Rattus norvegicus: one gene and its partners. The protein of the gene in region 4 interacts with the protein of the main gene of each other region in a pairwise test. Links are inferred from orthologs where the notes say so. Each region holds a gene or a part of one and is shown on either strand. Other genes may lie near its edges.

What was found.
Region 1: the proteins of Bysl (region 4) and Trip6 interact in binary tests that used the Homo sapiens proteins (3 or more experiments, as listed by UniProt). The two-hybrid records come from large-scale screens. The link is inferred for Rattus norvegicus from reciprocal best matches to the Homo sapiens genes BYSL and TRIP6.
Region 2: the proteins of Bysl (region 4) and Emd interact in binary tests that used the Homo sapiens proteins (3 or more experiments, as listed by UniProt). The two-hybrid records come from large-scale screens. The link is inferred for Rattus norvegicus from reciprocal best matches to the Homo sapiens genes BYSL and EMD.
Region 3: the proteins of Bysl (region 4) and Mid2 interact in binary tests that used the Homo sapiens proteins (3 or more experiments, as listed by UniProt). The two-hybrid records come from large-scale screens. The link is inferred for Rattus norvegicus from reciprocal best matches to the Homo sapiens genes BYSL and MID2.

What each region holds. Positions count from the first base shown.
Region 1 is NC_086030.1:25,020,496-25,026,372, reverse strand, and holds the start of Trip6 (thyroid receptor-interacting protein 6), read right to left. Parts: upstream 3,415-5,877; 5' UTR 3,266-3,414; coding exon 3,157-3,265; intron 2,909-3,156; coding exon 2,781-2,908; intron 2,687-2,780; coding exon 2,561-2,686; intron 2,309-2,560; coding exon 1,925-2,308; intron 1,327-1,924; coding exon 1,233-1,326; intron 1,137-1,232; coding exon 967-1,136; intron 1-966. Other genes in the region: Slc12a9 (solute carrier family 12 member 9), read right to left, coding at 4,139-5,025. UniProt on the Homo sapiens protein: Relays signals from the cell surface to the nucleus to weaken adherens junction and promote actin cytoskeleton reorganization and cell invasiveness. Involved in lysophosphatidic acid-induced cell adhesion and migration.
Region 2 is NC_086039.1:157,187,894-157,193,851, reverse strand, and holds Emd (emerin), read right to left. Parts: upstream 3,415-5,958; 5' UTR 3,308-3,414; coding exon 3,226-3,307; intron 3,134-3,225; exon of another isoform or gene 3,054-3,133; coding exon 2,946-3,053; intron 2,810-2,945; coding exon 2,732-2,809; intron 2,512-2,731; coding exon 2,375-2,511; intron 1,243-2,374; coding exon 1,196-1,242; intron 1,114-1,195; coding exon 783-1,113; 3' UTR 403-782; downstream 1-402. UniProt on the Homo sapiens protein: Stabilizes and promotes the formation of a nuclear actin cortical network. Stimulates actin polymerization in vitro by binding and stabilizing the pointed end of growing filaments. Inhibits beta-catenin activity by preventing its accumulation in the nucleus.
Region 3 is NC_086039.1:109,141,119-109,147,233, reverse strand, and holds the start of Mid2 (probable E3 ubiquitin-protein ligase MID2), read right to left. Parts: upstream 3,415-6,115; 5' UTR 3,251-3,414; coding exon 3,247-3,250; intron 1-3,246. UniProt on the Homo sapiens protein: E3 ubiquitin ligase that plays a role in microtubule stabilization. Mediates the 'Lys-48'-linked polyubiquitination of LRRK2 to drive its localization to microtubules and its proteasomal degradation in neurons.
Region 4 is NC_086027.1:20,879,076-20,885,005, reverse strand, and holds the start of Bysl (bystin), read right to left. Parts: upstream 4,666-5,930; 5' UTR 4,598-4,665; coding exon 4,333-4,597; intron 736-4,332; coding exon 573-735; intron 1-572. Other genes in the region: Med20 (mediator of RNA polymerase II transcription subunit 20), read left to right, coding at 5,108-5,121. UniProt on the Homo sapiens protein: Required for processing of 20S pre-rRNA precursor and biogenesis of 40S ribosomal subunits. May be required for trophinin-dependent regulation of cell adhesion during implantation of human embryos.

The DNA of each region.
Region 1 (5,877 bases), on a different chromosome or scaffold from region 4:
GTACTCTCTGCCCAACCACGTGGTGTGTGTAGTTCCCCGCAGAGCATTCAGTGGAAGGTGGACTTAGCATTTCTGAGGTTTCATACGGGCACTGAAGCCTCTAGACAAGGAATCTGGTCTCCGCACACTTCCTCTTTCAGTGAGATGAGTCAGTAGTGCTTGCCTCTGAGGAATGCTGTGAGGCTTTTACAAATTACCTCAACTCTAAAATGCCTTCTAGCTGGGCACACATCTGGTTTCTCAGCTCTCGGAAGCCGAGGCAGGAAGACTGTAACTTCAGGACCAGCCTAGGCTACGTAGTGAGACTCGGTCTCAAAGGAAGGAAAGAAGGAAGGAGGGAGAAAGGGAAGGAGAGGTGGAGGAAAAGAGGGGAGGAAGGAGGGAAAGAGGGAAGGAGGGAAGGAGGGAAGGAAGGAAGGTGGCCACCCACTTAGACAGCACGAGCTGTTCCTCCTCTCCTTCAGCTCGTGTCCACATTTAACTCATTCCTTAATCTGGGGTTGTAGCTCAGTTGGTAAAGTGTTTGTCCGGCATGCAAGAGCCCTGGGTTCCATTCCTAACACCACAAAGAACAGATCTGGTGGCCCACACCTGGAATCCCCATACCCAAGGTCTTCCTTAGCTATAAATACCTAAGAGTTTCAGGCCAGCCTGGGACACACGACGTATTATCTCAAAACGACAAACAGGCAATCCAAGAAACAAAACGCAAAGTGTTCTTTTGGTTGATGGATCAATCGATCTTCGGAAACCTGTGCCTTGGGCTGGCTTCCAACCCGCTTCCGTAGCCCATGTTCTCCTCCAGACAGGCCTGAGCCACCATACTTAGTTCATTGTACCTCAGCTTGAATCTCCAGCTTCCAGGCCCACCCAGCTGAGTACCTGGCCCTCTCTTGGATAGAAACCTGCCTGTCAAATCTTGACACTCCCAATTTGGCAACACCCTCTCACAGCCCAACCGCTCACCACATAGCAGCTCTCACAATACGCCCGCCTCTCCACGGCATAGAAGTGCTGGCCTCGGAGCTGGGCCCGACAGGTAGAACACACGAAGCAACCAGTATGGAAGACACGGTCCAGGGCCACAACCCCAGCTCCATCACCAACCACATCGTCGCCACAGCCACCACACCGACCTGGGGACAGAGGGGAACAAGATCAGTCTCCACAGACCCAGGACACCGGATCCACTGTCCCCTCCCCGTCCCATCCTACCCAGCGGGTCAGCTCACCAAAGTACTCCCCACTGGGCGGGTGGTTCATGTCATGCACCAACTTCTTGGTCAGTCTCTCCAGCTCCTCCTCTGGAGGCTGGCTCAAGGGGCCCTACAGGGAGAAACAGGGCTTTGCAGTGCTGCTTCGACCTCACACACCGTAAGTAACCCACAAGCTCAGGAACCCTGAAATTTCCTCTGAGAATATCTCCCAGGCTGACAAGGGAAGGAAGCCCCTTCCCTTTGGACATCGTAATCCTTGACCTCTAAGTACCCTAAAACCACAACTGACTTATATTTATTTTTAAGAGCGTGTCTCATATGGCCTAGGCTGGCCTTGGACTCATTATGTAGCCAAATATCTTAATTTACTGATCCTCCTGCCTCTACCTCCCCCATGCTTTGTTTATACAGTGCTGGGTCTAGAACCTTGGGATTCCTACATAATAAAAAAGGACTCTACCGGGGTTGGGGATTTAGCTCAGTGGTAGAGCGCTTGCCTAGCAAACGCAAGGCCCTGGGTTTGGTCCCCAGCTCCGAAAAAAAGAAAAAAAAAAAAAAAAAAAAAAAAAAGGACTCTACCAACTCTCTACCAACTGAACTGCGTCTCCTAAAAACGGTATCTTAATCCCTCAGCCTCCACACCACCTAACCAACGGCCAGTTACCTACAATGACCAGGTACCACCGTGCCCACACCCCCTGGCTTACCTGAGGCTCATGCCCACCTCTTCTTCCTCCTCCTGCAGGGTTATGAACTCCAGCAGCTCCCTCCTTAACCCCTGGTCCTGGCTCTCGGTGGCTCCTATAGCCAGCTCCCCAGACTTCACCACGACCTGTCAGAGGAAAGTGGGGGCCTGGAAGAGGTCCAGAGGCCTGCGAAGCCCCCCGCCTGGGCAGTCCACAGCCTCTCACGGGTTGAGCCACCTTCACTTGAACAGGGAAAGCAGGACCAGCTGGAGTGCTCGCGGTAGCATAAGAGGCTGGAGTAGGTCCACCATAGGGAGATGCTGGGAGCATCGGGGCTGGAACAGCACCTCCGCTGGGTTTCAGGGAGCCTCCACGGTAAGCATGGGGTGGAGGAGCCTCAAAAGCCTGGGAAGACAAACAATGCACAAACAGTAAGGCCAGATCCAAGATCCATGCGCGCCAGGTGGAATCTCGGGAGCCATGACTTTTGTCAAGTTCCCATGGGTTAGGCCTAACAAGAAGGAAGTTCATGATTCCTTGAACCAGTTATTTATTAGTTGCAAAGAGGGTGGGCGGAGAGTGAAGAGGGCGGACTGAGGCTGAGAATCTACAAAAGAGAATCGGCTGACACAGGAGAGACAGAACACAGGAGATCACCTGTCTGTCTGGTCGCCTAGGTGCATGACTGCGACTCCCGTCCAGATCAGCCAGCATGCTGGTGAGCGAATCTATCTCAGCGTCCAGACTTCCAGGGTGGATGACTCCCCGGTCTGGAGGGAGCCCCTGAGACAGAGCCAAAACAGGAAGAACAAATACCGATCACAACCCCTACCTAGCCTTCTCTCACCTTGATCCTACCCTCACCTCCAATTCTCACCTGCAGGCGCTGGGCTGCTCCATGGGATCCCACCCAAGTAGGCCCCCGATCTTCCGGTACCCCCGGAGGCTGATAACATTGTTCAGGTGGGAGGGGGCAAAAGTTGACCCTGGGGTGAGGCTGGAGCGCTAAAGGGGGAGACGGGAGGTGAGAGCGGAGAAGGGTACCCTGGTTAAAGCCGCCTTTCTCAGGCAGCTCTCCTTCACGTACCTGGGAGTCTGGGGATGGACCAAGAGTTAGGGAAACTTGCACAAGAGCAAGGGACTCTGGCTTGGGGAAGGGACAGCAGGAAGCAGATAGGCAAGGAAGAAAAGGTTAAGGAAAGTGGCCAATGGCTCTTCTGCCACTCCCGGGTGTGGGAAAGGGGAACACTTACTTGCTCCATGGGCCGTTGGCGGACCCAGGGTTCCTCTGGGCAGCGCTCTCCCCTGAGGGACTCTGGAGGGCTCTGGCTGCTTCGGGGGAAGCCAGGTGGGCCCGGACATGGTCTGGAATAGGGTTGCTCCACTCCAGACAGAGGTCAGGACCCCCACAAGCCCAGCGGCCGGGCCCTTGAGCCCCTTCCCTCCCTTTCGGCCCCACGCCCCGTTTGGGACTCCAGCAAAGAAACTTTTTCTGGCTTTTTTTTTCTTCCCTTCCTCCCCAATTTTGGAGAGGACCACGCCCCCTGACGTCACCACATTCCTGGTGAGGGTCACGTGGTCCCCCAAGCCTTATTCTACGATTCTTCCTTTCTCTGGCCCCCTCCTGTTAAGTGAGGACCGCCCTCCTCCGGAGCCAAGCCTAGGGTGGGCTGCAGGCCTCTCCGAGAGGCTCTGGTCCAGCAATTCTCTCAGATCCCTGCCCCAGTCCTGCACGTGGCAGCCTCTTGGCCGGGACTCTGAAAGTCTCCACCCCCTCATAGATCTCTCCCTTCCCACCCGGCTCCCTCTCATCTACCCACCAGCAGTGCTCCACCAGCCCATAGTGTTTTGGTCTTTTATTTATGGTCAGTAGTTAGAAAAATAAAACAAAACACAAACATCACCACCCAAGGAAGTCGGGGAGAGGGAGGTGGTGCGTCTGTGGCCAGGATGGGGACACTGAGGTAGCCTAGAGTCACAGAAGAGACCAGCCCCTCTGGTCAAGGCACCAGTGAAGGAAGCGTAGGCAGACCAGGAACAGGGCCGCAATGTCCTCCCCTACAATGGGGCAGCCACCTAGAATTAGTGTACTATGTCCATTCGCCACCCAAAGGAGACCAGGGTCCCCTTAAAACATCATCAAAAGGGCAGGGCCCATTGGGGGCGGGGGAGGGCGTCCCTTGTTGAGAATGGGCCTGGGCCCTCTCTATCTATCCAACACTGTATGCACAGGCATCAGAGATCAGTACAGGTAACCGGAGTGACACCATGAATAAGAAGGGTGGGACCCAGATCACGGCTTAGGGTCTCCAGCAGTGCCAGGTATCTAGGGTAGCGGGCAGGATCAGCAGGAGGTCGAGGAAGATACAGGAAGGTAAGGGCTGTGGTGGGTCCCTCCTCTCCATCCCTTCCTTCTGGTCCCCCAGGGCCTCCTCCTGTGCCTCGTCCCTGCTGGGCACGCACCAGGGCATTGGCACTGCAAGCTAGAGCCTCTGCCTCTTCGTCTCCTCGACCACCATTCACAAAGTCCCCTTCCTCCTCCTCAGGCTCCCCAGCCTCAGCCCCTTCACCCCACACCACCTCTTGCACCTCTGCCCGGATCCTGAGTTGACTCAACAGGGCCCGGAGCCTTCCCTCTGCTGCCCCAGGAGCCTCTCTGGGCCCCAAGCACAGAAAGATCCGGAGCCGGGCACTGTGCCAGGCAGGCACCATGCTTAAGATGGTAGCCATCTGCAACAGAAAAAGGCCACAGACGTCCACGTATCCAGGTCCACCCCGGGGCCTCAACAGATTCAAGGGCCATACGTCCACATGATGTAGCTGAGCGCTGCTACCGGACCCCCGGCTTAGCCGCTCCGGGGGCAAAGCCCCACAAGCTCGGGCGAGAACCACATTCTTGTTCATCTTGAGAGCATCTGCCACGGTGGCCACGTAGTCCTGGGGACTGAGAGCCCTGGGGCTCCCAGGAGCCCGAGGTGGAGGGAACAGCGTGCTCAGGGCTGGCGACCCGCCCTCTCTGGTGCCCTCTGCAGGCTCAGAGAAGGCTGGGTCTGTTAGAAAATGGTCCTGGGGTGGGGCGTCATCATAAAAACCGAGCACCAACGTGTTGGGCTTCATACCGCCTAGGGGCAGAGAAGGGAGGCAGGAAGGAACAGAAATCAGGCTGAGGACTGAGTTTACACCACATAAAACTCGCCCACTCACACTTAGGTCAGCCATGAGGTATGACATCCTCCTTGGCTGAGGCCCTTACAGCAAACAGTATACACACGTTTGCACAATGAATTGGCTTTGCTAAAACACTTTCACATGCATTTATTTGACTATCTCTTGGAATAATCTCTTCCACTTTAAATAGATAAAGTTCACTTCAGGATGTCTTCCCCCCTTTGCAGGGAGTGGTACTGGAGAGTAAACCTCAATCACTAACAGCTATATTCCAAGCCCCATCTTAAATTTCCTTTAGGTTTTTGTTTGTTTGTTTATTTGTTTCAGAGGAAGGGGGGTCTGTTTGTTGACTTGCTTGATTGATTTTATCATTCTAAGGCAGGGTTTCATGATACAGCCCTGACTGGGCCGCAACTCACTATGTAGACCCAGTGAAGCACAAACTCATAGAAATCCACTTGCCTCGGTCTCCTGAGCACTGGGATTAAATGCACACACGCACGCACCCACTCACTCACTCACTCACAGTTTTTGATTTTCTAGACAAGGTCCCAGGCATCCTGGGCTTTCTTTGAACTCTAAGTGTCAGAAGGTAACCTTGAACTTCTGATCTTCCTACATCCTCCTCCAAGTGCTGGGATTCTAGGTACTCATCACCGCTGCCCCATGAAGTTCGCCGAGTGTTGGGAGGGAGCTCAGGGCTCTACCAATGAGCTCCAGCCCCAGCTCTGGGTTCTCCTAGTGCTAAGGTTGGCTGGCATCAACCACAGGCCTTAGGCAACACATCTTTTTCATGTCAGGAGAGG
Region 2 (5,958 bases), on a different chromosome or scaffold from region 4:
CAATGTACTGGCATGATGCCTCATATCTTTTCTATCCTGGTAACCTCAGATGTTGGTGTTAGCCTCTCCTGACTAAAGTATCTGCATATATGATCATATATGCAGTTTTGCCTACATTTCCCATAGGCTTATCTACACATTTAATTACATGGTAGTTATTTTTCTAAGTGGTTATAATAAGTATTTCAGGGAGTTGGCCCAGAAATAAAACCCACAACTAAAACATAGACTTATCTATGGGTAGCATTTGATTCCTTCCCCAAGACCAAGCACAACCAAAGGGAAAAGCCACACTGATTATTGAGACCTAAAACCAAGCACCTGTGTGCCATGGCAGCCCAGCTCCCATCCCAGTAGGAAGAAACAACAAGGTAAAAATAAACATGTTTATTATTGTGTCCACGAAAGCAAAGCCAGGATGGCCTTGTTAATACCCCCTGAAAAGGTGACAACAAACAGGCATGCATGACAACTACCACTGCCACCACCAAGTTTTCCTCTAATGAAGTGAGGTCCTCCCCACCAGATCCCCATACCCTAAGAGTCAGAGGCAATAAGGCTAGGAGGCTCCAGAGGAAGGTACATACGGGCCTACTGGGCTGTGGAAAGCCAGCATTTGCTGCTTCCTTGGCAAGATGAGGTGGAGACAAGCACTGCCGTAGGCTAGGCCCTGTACCCTCTAACTAGAATACACAAAAAAGCCCCTACCCCCCACCCCCAGCAAACACTGCTAAGGCAGTCAGCCAAAACTCCTGTTAAGAGCTGCTCTGAAACCAATACCCTTAGGGATCCATCCAGAAGGGGTTGCCTTCTTCAGCTTGTATGGAATAGTAAACAAAGAGCAGAAAGGCAGCAAAGGCCAGGAAGAGTAACAGCTGGCCCCAGAGTGGGACCTGTCGATCCTGGCCCAGAGCAGCAGTAGGGGCCTGCTTTTCTGGTCGAATGGCACGTCGGGTAAGCCATGAAGAGGGAGAAGATGAAGAGGAGGACACAGAAGAGGTGGAGGATGTAGGATAATATGATAAGCCCAGGGAGCTCCTGGAGACATTGGAAATGGGGCGGTAGTGTGCGATGCTCTGGTAGGCACTGTCTCGGCCATAGATGGGGCGTTCCCTGTAGCAAAAGAAGGGGACAGGTAGGCAGGAGAGTCTGAGTGTCAAACTTGTCCCTGTCCCTACATGTGTTCACTACTCACCTATCCTTGCCTTCCTCTTCTGAAGAAGAGAAAATGTCATCACGCACCTGCCGGATAATTAGGATTAGAAATGGGAAAGAATGGTTTCCCCAAATGTCTCTGGCTAGCCTACTCTAGTCACATTGTAGGGGGCAGAAAATTGCCCCCCCATCATTCTGGGTCCATGCCCTCTTTAACTGTGGGGCCTTGCCACCCAGTTACAAACCTTGTCAACTTTGTCCCACCATCCTTTTATTCCCCAGGATTCTCAGGAGGCTTAAACCTACATCCTAGAGTACAGGTGCTGTTATATATGCTCAGATCATAAAAGTTTGTGGGCTGCAGAGATGCCTCAGTGGTTAAAAGCACCTATTGTTCTTCCTAGGTACCTAAGGTCATTTTCCAGCACTCACATCAGGCAGTTTACAACTACTTGCCATTCTAGCTCTAAGGGGAATCTAAGGGGAAATCTGACAATTCTGGCATCTGTAGGCACCAGCACTCATGCATACTACCCACAGACACATACATGTAGTGAGAATTCTTGAAATTTGGCTTAAGAAACACAGAAATATTATAAGAATGTTTTTATTTTAACCCTAGATGTGGGATATGGGGCTGTTTTACAGCAGCTATGATTTGCTTCATGCTTTTGAGTTGCAGATAGTTTCTGCAATTTTGTGGTATTTGGAATTCTGGGAATTTTTCAGAGGGTATGTAAATACTAGAGCCCCAATAGGTGAGGTTGGTTACAGTTTGCTAGTAGCTGGGGTCAAAGAAGACACAAGGAAGAAAGAAATTAGATTCAGGGATCTTTAGCTCTCTTTCTCTATCTAATGATTGGGGGTGAAAGGGTGAGGGGAACCCACAAACTAACAAAAAATTGGCTACACATAGGTATAATTAAAGTAATTAAATTTTTAAAAATGCCAAAACCCCAAAAACATTTGTGTGTGCTGCTGGATGCTGGAGATGAAACCATAGGTAAATGCTCTTCTACTGAGCTATATATGCTCATCCCCAAATCTAATAGTTTTGGAGGTTCCAACGTAGAACTTTTGAGCCAACAACTGTATGCTGATCCTAACCATACTTGAAGGCCTAAGATCCACTCTCTGCACCTAGTATCTCCTTGAACTATCCAAACCTAGAATTCCCTAAGGCTACATACACCCCAGGTATGCCTACCAGACAACTCACCTGGTGATGGAAGGTATCATCAGCATCTACAAGTGAGGTCCCTGGCCGGCGGAAGCTCTTGGACATGCCCACAGACTCGGGCTCCCCGTATGTCCTGGTAGTCAAATAGCTCTCCTCATAGTAGTCATCATTATAGTCTTGAGGAAGAAAACAGTGGTAGAGGAAAAAGTGGTGCCCCTTACCTGGCCTCTTGCCACCTTCCGCCCCCCCCCCCCAGTCTGTGTGTGTGCTGTGCCAGTTTCTTCTCTCTGAAGCCACTGAGAACTGGTACAAGGGGGTGAGGTCTGGAGTTTCACTGTGCCCAAATCCCTGAAGCATGGGATAAAGACATCAGTGCCCATCCCACACCTGCCTTACCCTTGCTCTGGTAAAGTAAGGCGTCCTCCTTTTTGGGCAGATCATACATGTCTGAGTCCACGGAGGCTGAATCCAAGTCTGCATGTGGAGGAGAAGGTACAGGACCTTCAATCTCCAGACTTCCCCCTACTCCCTCAGTAGCTTCAGCCACACCCTCCCTCCCTGCGCCTTGTGCCCCAAGCTGCTCTTTGGGGCTGTGCAGTTGGAGCCTCACCTGAGAACCGATAGGAGAATGAAGACGATGACGAGCTGGGGGGCGAAAGCCTCCTTCTCTGGGTCTCGTACTCGAAGATTTTCTTTTCGTAGAGCTTGCGAGTGGAGCCTGCCCAGACACAGGGTGCGAAGCGGTCAGCGGGTGCGAGCCGAGCACCCCAAGAGCACAAGGGAACACGGGGAGGGGACCTGAGGGAAGGAGGAGGTAGGAAGAACGCTCAGGGAGGAGCGCGGGAAAGCGGGGGACCGAGAGGTTCTGAGCGCCACCGGCTGCAGCATACCCACAATAGGCCCATGCGGGATGTTGTACTGGCGTAGCACTGCGGCCAGCTCAGTATCGGACAAAACCGCATAGTCGTCCATGGCAGACACGGCCGGCACCTGGAAGCGGTGTTGAACGCCAGGGGCGGCCGGCACCTATACACAGGGCCCAAGAAACAGACAGCTCGGAGCCTAGCAGAGGAAGCGCCAGCGCCTCAAGAGCGGCTGTGGGCGCGTCAAGCCGCCGTCACGTTTGCGTCACAGCCGCTGCTACGCAGGTTGCGCGCTCTCCTCAGGGCAGGCCCAAATCCGCCGGAGCGGCCAGTACAGACCAGTCTAGCAGGCTGGACTGGCAAATACAAACGTCACACTTGTGTGAGATTGACTCGAACAGGAAGAGGGAGGGGCTTGCGGGAGAGATTTTGGGGCAGCGGAGACTTCCTTTGAGAGCTAGGCAGCTGAGGGGCGGGGCTAGCTAGGCTATCTGAGGGTGCTAAAGCTCAACGTACTAGAGGGGCGACAAGTGTTCTCAGCGGACCAAAACTGGCTTGTGATTTCCCAAGCTGTGAAATCTTACACACCTTTGTGGCTTCATCCTGATTTCCAGTGCCTAGGATTCTCAGCCACAGTCTGGTCCACAGCAATGTGAAGAGTCCAATCCTGAGAGCAAACCTTTCCACAGCGCCTGACGCTGTTGCGAGCTCTTTGTGTGCACAAGTGCTGTCATACAGGACTCTCATCACCTACATAACCACCCACAGACCCCTGGCACTCGCTACCCATCTCCGCTGGTCTTCACAGGCTCCATGGCCCTGGCCTGCACACCTGTACAGGCCCATTCCCACCGTCCTCTCTGCCGCCTAGTTCCATCCGGGAGGAAATGGGGCTAGCACTGGGACAAGAGGCCGCCAACACTGTAGGACCAAGCAGCTTTCCAAAGGTCCAGGGCATGCCAATGGGCACAATCAGAAGGTGCCTGCTATGTGATGCATGTAGATGGGTACACCTTGTACCTGCCTAACTCACTGTTCCATCCACCTTGGGCCCTGAGGAGTTTTGAGGGGAGAAGTCTTCTTTGGCAGAGTCTCTAAGCTTGGTGTGACCTTAGAGGCCTAGACAGTGTGCAAAGCCTAGAGCAGTATCTCTCAACCTTCTTAATGCTGCCGACCCTTTAATACAGTTCCTCATATTGTGATGACCCCACCACCACCATAAAATTATTGTGTTGTACTTCATAAGTGTAATTTTGCTATTATAAATTATAAATATCTAATATGAAGGATATCTAATATGTGAGACCCAAAGGAATAGTATCCCAGAGGTTCCAAACTGCTGGCCTAAAGGTAAACCATGGGAATTGACGGAGGCTCACTAAGGATCTGGATCAGAGAAAGGTTGCCTTGAAGAGTGAGCATGACCATTATATTCTACGAAAAGTCATGTGGCTCTAGGTGTAAGCTGCCCTTTACTGGAGACATCTAGAAGAGGGGGTACATGCAGAAAAGGTGTGTGGGATGCCTGATCTCTTAAATCAGTGATTCTCAACCTTCCTAATGCTGTGACCCTTGTTGTGACCACAACGGTTACTCATGTTGTAGTGACTCCCAATCATAAAATTATTTTTGTTGCCACTTTATAATGATAATTTTTGCTATTCTTATGAGTCATAATGTAAATATTTTTGGAGATAGAGGTTTATTAGAGGGGTTACAACCCATGGGTTTTCTAAATGATAGTGATAGTGAATACTCTGGTCAGCTCTAGGCTGGCCTTGATGACACTTTAGTGAAGGTCACTGGCCAGTCCTCTATAGAAGTTTAAAGTAGGCAATGGTGAGGAGGTGGAGCCCAGTTTTGACCACATACAAAGTGCTTAATGAAGAAAAGTTGCTGTTGGATGGGTTTAAAAGACAGTGCCCTCTCTATCCCTGTAAATGGAGCTGTAAGAATCTCTGGAAAAGATACTGTGTTAAGGAAAGACAGGAGAAAGTTCTTGGGCAGGAGTGTGTGTGTGTGTCTGTGTGTGTGTGTGTGACAGAAAGACAGAGAGAGAGAGACAGACAGACAGACATAGACACACAGAGAAGCACAGAGAGACAGACATTCTCCCCATTAAGCAGCTGCTTCATGAATTTTTTTTATTTTTTATTTTTTTTAGTTTTGGCAAAATCAGATTTTCCAGCATCCCCCTCCCTCTGTGCTGGCCCCTCTCCCAGAGGCCTCTGCATACAGAATGAATGCTCAGTACTCCCCTCCCCCCATACAGAATCAAGTTGTTTCCTTATGAGGTCAAGGAATTTTAGGTTTGCCTTTTCCCTAAGGAACACCCTCTGTACCTGCCTCAGCACTCTGCTTCCTAATCCCCCTACTATCCTACTATAAGATCCTATCACAGATGTTACCAGGAAGCTGTACTGTGGTCTCGCACATACTGTCTGATGACCTAGACCTTACATCTAGCCTTATTGCAGTGTAGTTCTCTTCTCTATCATTCAGCAGAAGAATCAGGATCCCAGAGTTGAAAGAAGCTTTTGCAACAGCTTCAAGTTGAGTGATTCATGGAAATATTCTACCCAGGAAGTCATCTAGGTGGTGCAAGGCTGGCTTTATACTTCAATTAGAATTTGTCAGTGGGGCTAGAAGGATGTGCTAGGGCATTCTGTAGGTCTCTAGGAAATTCTGAGGAGTAGCCCTTGGCCAGTATGACTAATTGGGAAAAAAATCTTGGAAGCAACCCATTCTAAGAATAAGAAA
Region 3 (6,115 bases), on a different chromosome or scaffold from region 4:
AACTACCCAGACTGGTGGCCAGAGTTAGATCCACAGAACCCATGCAGTGGAGGGAAAGAGTAGATTTCCACAAGTTTCCCTCTAACCTCTGCATGTATGCTATGGCACATATGCATGTACCATATACATGGTCAGAGGCACGCAAATAAAGAACTGTTAAAATTTAAGTGACTGCCTTTCAAACCTCTTGAACTGTGTTCTATCCATCATGAACGTGTTATACCTCACACTTTGATGATATAGTATTTCATGTAAGGACACTACGCACATCATAGACACAGCTTTCTTTTGTATAGAAGACAGAACAAAAAGTCAATAATACTAAATGGAGTTGGAGCATCCTCCTATCCCCTCAGACCTCTTCTAGCAGCTGAGTCCCATGGCCAATATCTAGAAATTTAGGAAAATCTAGAAAGATTGTATGACAGACAGACAAAGCCAAACAGTTATCTCTTAAAACAGTCACCTGAGACATAATTGTATGCCTCATCCCTGACTTTGTCTTTTGGGGTTTTACATCCCTGTTGAGAAAGAGAAATTCTAGTTCTAAGGGACCTAACAATCAGAGACAGTGTTCTTCACTCTTCATCAAGATGATGAGGTTTGTTGAGTGATTACAAAAGCATTCTTCTCTAGTCTCCCTCCTAATTGTTGCGGTGTCAGCAGATTTTATGGGAGGAGGGAATAGAAAGGCTCACTACTCAGAACACTACTTGGATGCAATTATGACACTCCACCAGCACTATTTTAAGGCCTGCAAGTTGGAGCAAGTTGCCCTGTTCTTAGAGGAGGGATTAACCAAACCAATTTTATCTAAGTCAATTTGCACTGTTCAGATGATATGTTTGTGAAGCAAGCAAGCCACTCATTTGCAGCAAGTGCCTCTCAGAAGTGGTCTTGCAAGGTACAACATGCTAGGTAGGAATCACGGGAGTCATGAAAGTAAATAGGAGAGACAGCTCTTCATGTCCTGTAACTTCTCTCCCTACTCCACACATCACGCACCCTGACCTGATCGAGCCTTGGAGATGTAAGTAGAGTTTAGCATAGGGCAAATATGAGCCCAAAATACTGGGTCAAGTGCAGGGCCTCCCTCAACACAGCCAGCAGAGGTGTCTGTGCATTAAAGGTGCTTTAAAAAATATTGACTCATGGCTGCTAGGTGCTAATTGTGCTTCTATAGCCAGACCTAAAGTTATCTGTGACACTTTTTATTGGGCATTAACTAACTCCCCTCCGCATAGGCTAAAAAAATGGGTGAGGTTGAATATTCAAATGAGTCTGACTCAGACTGTTAGGGTAAAGTGTAATCAATATGATTTATGACTCGACTTAAAATCATCACCATTACTTTCTATGCCTAATTGTATATATGTTCCCATTCAGTTGCACATACATTTGCGAAACAAATTGACTTAAGATCTAAATTACAATGATAATTTGAATCCCAAGGGAACTAATAAGGGCAAATTAAGGTTTGTGTAAATTAGTGTTCCCATTTATATCCAGTCAATCCAGTAACCCACTAAGGGATAAATGAAATGCTTTCACTGGAAAGTATAATGCCAAGGTTTATAGAATCCTTTTATCTTCAAAGGACCAAGCCAATACTCACAATACCCAGTACACAATATTATGCCTTTTATGCAAGTGCAGCATCTGTGAAAGAGAGGTCATACAAATGTCTAAAGGCCGTAAAGCCAATGCAACGTCACATTTGGAATGAACTCTCTGATCTTCTAGGCTCCTAGGCTTGTGTTTCAACCACATGAATCAAGTTTTGTAAGGAACAATCAAGAGAAATCTAATTCATATTATGCGTCTGTATTAAGCTAATTGATTGAGCAGGAATATATAAAAATAGCAAAGATCGATTCTCCCTCGGGGCAGTGCTGAGTGGGGAGGAGGTGAAAAGGGTGGGGGTGCTGGGATAGGAATCTAGGATACAGCAAAACTCCCTAAGCAGAAGGGAGCAAGAGTGTGAACTCTTCGTTTGCCAACTCCATCTTCTATTGGAATATTGTCAGAGCTGATTCGATTTCGGAGAGGAAATGGAGTGGGATTAAAGTCAGCCCTTATGGTCCAATTTGAGAATCTCATTAATCCCCACACAATAGTTGTCTCCTATTACAGTTTCCAATGTCTTGCTTCATAAATACTCCTCAGAGACAAACAACTAATGCCATTCACCAGCCCCACCCTCCAGAATCTTCAAAAAAAAAAATTCAAAGTGATTGAAAAGCAAGAAGCTGCACTGCTGGGATGTGCACAGGTCGACAGAGAAAAGCTGAGAGTGCAGGGACTCTGGGAGAGATGTGGCAGCTTAGATGGGAGGCAGGGATAAGAAGAGGCAGAATAGTGACAGCACATAGTGAAGAGAGAGGGGAAAGTGAGGAGTCCAACCATCCCGGGATCCTAATTTCCTGCTCTAAACCGAAATGCCTCCTAAATAAATAAATAAATAAATAATATGCTGCACGTGAAGTGCGAAACAACCTAAGCCAGCCCATCACCAGTAACGTTACAGTAATTCTTAGGAGCCCAAAATGAAAAAGGCTCCCGTGTCTCTGTTTCAGTCGCAGTGTGTCCTGTGGACACACTCAAGTTTTCCCTCTTCCCCCCAACGGCGCTGCTTTTACAGCTAGGCCAGAAATAAAGAACCACCCAGACAGAGACTTGAAGATCACTTCCCCAGCAGGGGGAAAACAAGGGAGGGGGGATTAAGTTTCTCCCGGGCTCTTGCCCGCAGGGTGTCCACCGCATCTCTGGCTGCTGCGCCAGCACCACTGAGCCAACCGCCGACCTCCGGGCGCCGCCCGGGCCGAGGACGCCGTGGATTGCGGGAGCGTGGGAAGGCGGCTGCGCCCTTTCCCAGACTTGCGCCTAGGCGCCAGGAGAGCTAAGCCGCTCCACTGCTTTCCCCTGGCTCGGCCTGGCCAAGCGGGAGGCCTCGGGCCGTTCCCCAGCCTGGGATCTAGGAGTGCAAACTCCTTCCCACGAGGGCAGTAGCAGGAGTCCGGGTCACTACCGTGTGACAGACAACTGGGACTCCGCCACTGCCACCTGGAGCCTCGAGGACCCAGTCCCGTCCGGTCCCCCCCACTCTCCCAACCCCGAGTGTCCTCAGCCAGCGCCGGCCCCGGCGGCACCTGAAGAGCAGCAGGAGCTGGCCGGGACCAAGCCCTGCGCGGGCGGCCACACTAGCCACCCCCCACCCCCGGGCCTCGGCGAGGGGACGCGTTTTACCCATATTGTTCCCGGGTGTCAGCCATCTCCTACGCGCGCCGGGAAGCGCCGTGCGCTCGCTGGCCTCCACAGCAAGCTGGCTCGGGCTCCCGCGCAAGCTCCCGGGCCGCTGTCGCTGCCGCCGCCGCCGCCACCACCACTCTAGGCCGCCGCCCGCCTTCTCCGCTGCGGCCGCCGCCGCCGTTGCCGCCGCGCAGCAGCCGGGATCCGCCAGCCCGCGCGCCCCACGGGAGACAGCACGGAGACCGCGACGTTCCGGCGTCTAGGTCTCCCGGGCTAAACTTAAAGAGTTTTCGCCTCTCAGTCCAGAGGCAGCTCCATGACACCACCGCAGCACCACACTGTCATTTCCGCCGCCGCAGAGGAAAAAAAAGGCAATCCCTTCGAAAGGAGGGTGGAGTGGGGGCAAGCGGAGCGGAGACTGACACCCTAAGGGAGCACGGGGAGGGGCCCGGGCAGAAGGGGCGCTGGGCCACCTTCCTAGGCTCACCTTCCGCCGCCCCCGCCACTCCCAGCTCCCCGTGCCCCTCCTCTGGAGGCGCGCTTACATGTTTTCTCCCCTGGCAGGAGTGACCGGAGAAACCTGAGCAAGCAAAGGCAGCGGGTGGGTGGGGTTCAGATTACTACTGTACCTACCAGCTGATTCCAGCAGCCTTTTCTCCAGCACCCTGTCATCTTGATGGAAGACACGGGGAGAAGGGGACTGACTGAACAGGCGTGTGTGTGTGTGTGTGTGTGTGTGTGTGTGTGTGTGTGTGTGTGTGTGTGTTTGCGCGTCTACAAGCGAGCGGGTGGTATGTGTGAAGTACAGAAGGAAGACTGTGGCCAAACTCTTCACCCACCCACCTCCCTTCTACATCCACAAACCCCCAGATTAGAGCAAGGGAAAAGGCTGTTGCACTCGCCAATGAGAAGAGTGTGCCTGGATCCTCCTCACGGGTCCTACTGGTGAAGCTGTTCTATGCAAAGTTAACTAGAGAGTAAAACAAAAATAGTGGAGGAGACAGAGAGGGGCAGACAATTGGAGGAAACCCAACCCCTTTTTCTTTTTACAAAGGGAGAATGGCTATGTTCTATTGGCCTTGGGCACAAGTTGTTCCGGTGGATTGAAGCCACTAAAAGTGTAAGGGGGTAAGGTTTCTTTTGCACCTTCTGATCATTGACCAACAATACAAGAGGGTCATTACCAAGAGGACAATGAGGCAGATGCTAGCCATCCAAGAATTCAATGTCCCTATTAAGATCCATTCGGAACCCAGGAGTTTCTCATTGGTCTGGATACAGCCTGCCTTTTGACCCGTCGTTGGCTCAAAGACCACCACACCCACTTAAAAAGTAGATGGGAGAAGGAAGCCACCCCAGAGGATACTCTTTCTAGTACCACTCATAGAGGGAAAAAGAAAGCAATCAAAAAAAAAAAAAAAAACAAAAAACAAAAAACAGCCCTTCTCACATGGGCCTCCCATTACTGTGTTTGGGAACAAATCCAAAAAGAGAAAAAAAAGGTAGATGGGTGTGTCTTGTCAGGGAACCAATAGCAGTCAGCCAACAGCACTGTTAAACAACCTGCTAGAGAACACTGGAGTGGAAATGAAGGGGAAAACCCAACCACATTACCTAAAGGGAAGTACAGTGCTGAGAGATGTAAAAGTTAATGCGTCATATTCTAAGCACAAACAACAAAAGCAAAACCAGACAAATGACACTACATAGGACCAACACCTACACAGCAGAGTACACAATCGACACATTGGGAAAGGGAGAAAATGTTTAAAATCATATAGGATAAGGACTTACTATCTAGAATATGTAAAGAAGTCATGTGTTTTAAAATGGGCAAAGGACTTGAATGGGTATTTCTCAAAGAAGAAACAAATAGCAGATAATAAGGTGTTTAACATGATCAATCATCAGGAAAATGCAAAATCAAACAATGGAGATGTGTTGCATATGGTTAACAAGACTAGACTCTGTTCTTGGCATGGTCAGATGGGTAAATTCTATACCATGAGACCTTTGACACAATAAAACACTTCATTTCTTTTAAGCTCATGAGTCAGAAGTCTGCTGGGCACATTCACCACCCAAATGTTAAAAATAATTATATATGTATATCTTATGTCTGTGCATCTTTATTTACATTTGTCTGGAGTCAGTCTGCTTGCTGAAAGACCTGGGCTGTTAGTAAGTGAAAAAAAAGGGTAAGTAAGGAACAGATATGGCAAGTAGAATGAAGGATGCTATGGACCAGTGGGAGAAGGAAATGAAATGTCCTTTAAAGCATACATGGTTTCTGGCTTGGATTTTTGAAAATTTTCTACAAATAATTTGTTTTGTGAATGTACTTAATGCTACTGAATTGTACACTAAAAAGTGGTTAAAGTGGCAAAGTGCATATGAAAAAAGCGAAAGAAAGAAGAATAACACTAGACAACTATAGTACACCACAGGAAGAACAACAATATGAATTATCCAGACCCTCCAGAGCTCCTAGGGACTAAACCACCAACCAAAGAGTACACATGGTGGGACCCACGGCTCCAGCTGCGTATGTAGCAGAGGATGGCACTGTCCAGCAGCAATAGGAGGAAAAGCTCTTGGTCCTGTGAAGGCTCATTTCCCCAAAGTAGGGGAATGCCAGGACATTGAGGTTGGAGTGGGTGGGTGGGAGTGGGAACATCCTCATAGAAGTTGGGGGAGGGGGAGGCGGTCTGGGAGAGAGGGTAAAGGGGATAACATTTGAAATGTAAATACATAAAATATCCAAGAAAATAAAATTATAATAAAAAATCAAAAAAGAAAATCTAAGAGCCTGGAAATACCTTGTACACGATTCAAACCTAGAACTGACATTAGCTTTTATGGAGAT
Region 4 (5,930 bases):
CAGCGCACTCTGAAGAAGAGGCTGGTTGAGCCCCTTTGCCCTAAACCCACTCCTCTGAACCGGGCCAGATCCACCTGCTCAAGAATCTGACCACAGGCAGCCTAAGTACTGCATGTTCAGAAGTAGCATTGAGATTTGAGAACACATGGGAATAGGTCTGTGGTTCTACCCAGAGGTAGGGCTCACCCTCTGGGAAAATCTGGCGATTCGTAGAGTGATTTCTCACTGCTGGTATCAGGAGGGGAGATGCCAGAGATAGCTGTTAAGATCCTTGGGTTCTAGCTCCCATGCACAAAGACAGGTATCTGGCCCAAACACCGTGTCTGAGAAGGAAAGCCCTGAAGTACAGACTAAGCCATGAGAGCAACAAACCAAGAATAAGTGCAATAGAACGGCCCCCTGCTATAAAAAGGAACTGGGTAACCTATGAAATTCCCGATCAGACGGACAAAGGCATTTTGAGTCTGGGTCATTCCCATTCAGGAGGGCCATTGTTGACAATGGTCAGACCAACAGCTGTGGCCTGTGGGAACTTTCTACCAGGATCCACTGTCCCAACCTTCAAACCCTACCTGACAGGAGGGTTCTTGTTCATGAACATTTCAATGGCGCGTTCATCTTCAGGGTCCACCACTACCTCTGCCTGGTGGTTCACCACGGTCATTTTGGCTGCCTTCTCCAGGGTAGGCCATTCCTCATCCTCCTCATCCGATCCATCCTGTGGCACTCCTGGCCCTAAAAGAGAAATGACAAAATAAGCATGGTGGGCAGGGGGTTCGGAGTCAGCTCACCTCTTCCATGTCCAGAGTCTTGGAATCTTGAGAGACAAAATACAGCACAAGAAGATGATGGGGGTTGGGGATTTAGCTCAGTGGTAGAGCGCTTGCCTAGCAAGCGCAAGGCCCTGGGTTCGGTCCCCAGCTCCGGAAAAAAAAAAAAAAAAGGAGATGATGATGCCAGGAAATAATGGTTGATGCACTACCCTCAGTGACCTCGAAGAAGCCATTCTATACTATACACGTGGAACCTGGTCCATCCAGATAACCTCGAGGAATGGGTACTGTCATCAAACTGGACAGTAGGTAGCTCGGGTCCTGACTTCCCACTTTGTGGCTTGCACAGTACAGCTGTATTACGTGCTAAGGCTAAAACCATGGTAGAGGCAGAATTACCACAGGCACTTTGGTGAGGGTGAGGAGGCCCTGGATGGGCAATTTGGGAGCAAGAGCTTGCTGTACACCCTGGAAAGTAGTGTTGTCGCAGTGTTGGGCATTAGGAGCCAGAGCCAGAACTAGACTATAGCACCAGAAAGGAAAGGTAAAGCCAAGCCGGAAGGCTGAGGGCTAGTCAGTGGCACCAGACTCTGATTAACCAATACATTTAAAAGGCTGACTTAGGTAGTCAAGGATGACTTAGAGGTCCTTGTTCTCAGGCCTCTACTTTCCAAGTGCTGGAATCACAAACACACACCACAATGCTTAACACTGAGCTCCTGATGTTGGGATAAACGCTCCTGTTCTGTGTAAGGTTGTCTTTGAATTATTCACACACTGATTTCTGTAACAGTGGAGACTTGCAGTTGTTATTGTTATTTTTGTGAAGCATCACCTGTCCAGGTGTTGTATAAACAACATCTTCTCTGTCTCCGTCCCATTGGTTTAATCAGGAGCTGACTGGCCTATAGCAAAGCAGGAGAGGATTTCCGGCAGAGATAGGAACTCTGGGAAAGAAATGAGATATGAAGGGATTTGACAGCCAGAGGAAGAAACACATACAGGTACTGAGGAGTGGAAATGAGCCATGTGGTTCCGTGTACACTAGTATTAATGGGCTAAGTTGTATAAGCTACTTGGGAACAAGCCAGCTAAGGCCAAGCTTTCATAATAAAATGTCTCTGTGTCCTTACGTGGGCGATAGGTGGATAGGTGGGTCAAGCCATTCCTGACATATCCTGACTTTTATTTTTTTAGAGACAGGGTCTTGACCATGTAGCCTTGGCTGGGTGCTTCCTGAGTGCTGGGATTAAAGCCATGTGCCAACATACCTGTAGTGACAAACACCACACACACCTGGCAAGGCAGCTGGGAAAGAGCCTAATGGGCCAAATTAGCTGCAGTGTTACAGAGCAACAGGTCATGTGCTTGGAAGTGGACTAAGGGTACCTAGAGCTCAAGGAGTCCACAGAGCACATTCAGGGAGAGCCAAGGGTGTTTGTTGTAGATTTACTTTAAGTGTGAGCGGTGCCTGCCTGCATGCCTGCATGTATGTCTGTGCACACGCGGGCCTGGTGTCTAGTGAGATCCGAAGATGGCATCTGACCCCTTGCCACTGGAGTTACAGACAGCAAGCCTGACATATGAATGCTGGAAACCATACTCGGATCTTCTGCTAGAACAAGTGTTCTGAAAAGCTGAGGACCAATTCTCAAGAGTTTTCCTCTGTTCTCTACACACATCATGACACGCACACAAAATACATGTTAAATAAAAGAAGACAAGTGCTATGAGATAAGTAGGGGAATAAAAGAGGTTAGGAGACAGATGCTGACACTTGTGGGGTGTTTTGTTGTTGCTGTTGTTAGTTTTTTATATATGAGTGAACCCTTGCATCATAGAGGCCAGAGGGGAATCTTGACTATTATTTCTCGGGAGCTGATGACCTTGTTTTTGAACCAGGGTCTGGCTGGGACCTGGGGTTAGCTGATTAGGCTACACTGGTTGCCCAGTGGGTCCAAGAGATCTGTCTTCAACACTGTGGGACTACAAGCTGTTGTAGGTGGAAGTCAAGAGTCTCAAGTCATGTTCCTTACCAGCTGAATTATCTTATCCCCTCCTTACTTTGTGATTAGACCTGAAACAGAGGCAGATTAGATAGGATTCTGTTGATCTCTAGCTGTTGAATGGACCACAGAGGTTACAGAATACAAATTATGATGCTCTCCCAGTGATTCAGGGGAGACTGTGGTAGCTAAAACAGGAGGCGTTCCAAGTTAATGGAAAGTGGTCTGGCTCTGGATATATTCTAAAGACACAACCATCAGGATTTACTGTGAAGTGAGAAAGAGAACACTGGATTGTGCCTTGAGCAGTGGAAGGCTAACATGCTAACAAACTCTGTGTAGCCAACAGAGAGCAGGTTTGGGAAGGAAGTCAGAACTTCTGTGTGGACACATTCAACTATCGACAGCTACCAGTCTTCAACTTGGAGCTGTCAGGAAGACCACTGGAAATAAAGATGTGAGCCTCTTGGACGAACTACGTACGTGGGAGAAAAATCTGGAAGCAGCCATCAAACAGATGGCTTCAGAGTGAAATTTGCTGACAGCATCACGGAAGGATCTATAAGCTCAAGGCCTGCCTTGGTCACGGCAAGTTCAAGTCCAGCTTGAACAACTGAAGGAGACCCAGTCTCAGTTACAAAATGTTTTTAAGGGCAGGCGTGGTGCCAACCACCTATAATGCCACATGGAAAACAGAGGCAAGATCAGGAGTTTAAGGTCATCCTCCCCTACAGAGTTTGAGGCCAGCCTGGGCTCCTTGAGCCCTTACTTCAGAAAAGCTGCTGTAGCCCTAAAGCCACATTCAAACACTGCTTTTAGGACAGATGGGAATGGAAGATTAAGCAACTGGAGGTCAACGACAGTTCCTCCCCAGTGAGACAGATTACCAAGCATCTACCCACCCATCCCACCCCACTTTTAGCTTCTGAACAATACTCGTTCCCCTCCCTCATCACTGGAACACTTCCCACTTGCTTTTCAGATCTTACTAGAAGGACGTGAAACCTGGGATACCCACCATACAGAATTAATGTCCATCTGTTTTTGTTTAAACAGAAATATCTTTCCCCCTCTCTTGAGAGATAGGGTTCTATCATGTAATGTAGTCGAGGTTAATCTGGAATTTACTATGTACTCAAGGAGGCCTTCTGCCTTGCTTCTGGAGTGCTGGCATTACAGGTGAGCATCGCCACTCCTGCCTGGAATATATTACTCTAATTATCTATTTAATGTGTGCCTTGAGCTACACTTCCGGTGCCATCAGGAGTGATGAAGATCTTATTTCTGGATCAGAACTGCCTAAAAACTTAACACAGCTCAAAGCACTATGCAGGCAGCCCACAGATACTTCAAACGCACAGAGAATAAATAAATGCTAGAACTGGTGTGAGAGATCACATTCTGTTGGCTTAAGTCTGGATCCCGAAACCCAGGAGTGGAAGTGAAGGACCACGCGGGAAAGTTAAGCCGCCTACTCTTTTTAATTCTAACCCAGTATTCCGATGGAGAGTATCAGACCGGCCCAACTCACCACTCCACCCCTTGTCACTCACCCAGCCGCGTGGCGCGCTCTCGCGGTTTTGCCGGCCGATCTCCAGTCGCGTGTTCAGTCTCGAGCTCCTCCTGCTGCTGCCGGGCTTGTTGCAAAATCCGTCTGCTCAACCGGGGTCCCACATACTCTTCCTCCTCTTCGACCCCGTGTCTCCGCCGTTTTTCTCGGGTCCCCGCACGCACTGCGTCCCCAGCCAGAATCTGCTCCGCCAGAGGTGCATGTCTCTCTTGATTTCTGGCCCCACGTGTCACCTTTAATTTGGGCATTTTTGTCGAAAAACTTGCCCACAAAGTTTACACGTGTGAAGCCGGCTAAGAGACGAGACTGCGCTTGCGCCTTGTATTCCGGTCTCCAAGAGGTCACTGAGGCATCACAGTGCCCCCCAGCGTTCGGAGGCCGGAAGTTCCTCATATATCGCCATCTCTAGAAGAGCTTCGGGGCTTGGAGCAGGAGTCTCCAAATTCTCAGATAATCTCACTGAAAGAGGTGGATGTTCGAGTCACCTTTTCCAGAATTCATGAAAGTAGCCTAGGGCGTGTTGTCAACCCCTTGTATGTTTTGGGGGCGGAGCCGGGTCGATGACGTACTAGAAATGTCACCGCTGGTGTATCCAGAGATGCCTCTCCCTGTGGGCGTGTCGTCCTGGCGCTCAGTATTTACGCATTTCCGGAGGCCGGTCAACGACCGCTTCCTGTGTTTAGGGGGCTGCCTCTCGTGGGAAGGTCTGGATTCTCTGAGTTTGAGTATTTGGCAGTACCACCTTTTGACCCTTCGCCATGGGAGTGACGTGGTAGGACTTGAAGGGCTTCTGCGGGGGGGGGGCTGTGGGGTCGTGAAGGTGTCTGTGAGCCTGTAATGGCCCGGGGAGGGGGATTTTGACCGAGGTTCTCGGTTCCTCGAGGGCTGACCAAGATGTCCTGGGGTTGTGTGGATCAGGGGACACCCGAGTGCGGGTTCTCCCTTCCCAGGCATAACAATTTGGCAAAGCAAGCACTTCATCCCAAGAACCCGCCAAGAGTTGTTGGACCTTCTTTTTCTCGGTACCTCTTTCTGTCCTTGAGGCCTTGTCCCGTCGCAACTAGAATCCAGCGGTTAGAAATAAGGTTTCTAGACTAGGAGATATTCGGAGGAAGGGATAAAAAGGGGCGCGAGGAGAAAGTGACTTGTGTATTCTGCTTGCAGTTATAGCACCTGACTTTGAACTGGCCACTTTAAGATATTGGGGCTAGTGACAAAGGTAGGGGAAAGGAGCTGTTGGGAGTTTGGAGATCGGGGTACCAGGCATATTAACTATTCATGAACCACTCCCTAACGTATTTGAGACAGTTTTTTGAGCAGGGTTTTCTTTGTGAGTAGCTTTGGGAGGCCTGTAGATCAGGCTGGACTCAAACTCACCGAGATCTGCCCACCTCTGCCTCTTGAGTGCTTTGGTGATGGCATTTGCCACCAGCACTTGGGCTTGAGACAGTTTTGATCGACTTTTATCTTAAACATGTCTTAAGTCTCACTTGAAAAAAAAAAAGAGGCAGTCGGTAAGGTTTGGGCACCGTGCTTTTGTGGGTATTAATTTCAAAGTACTAGACCTCAGCACTTAAAATC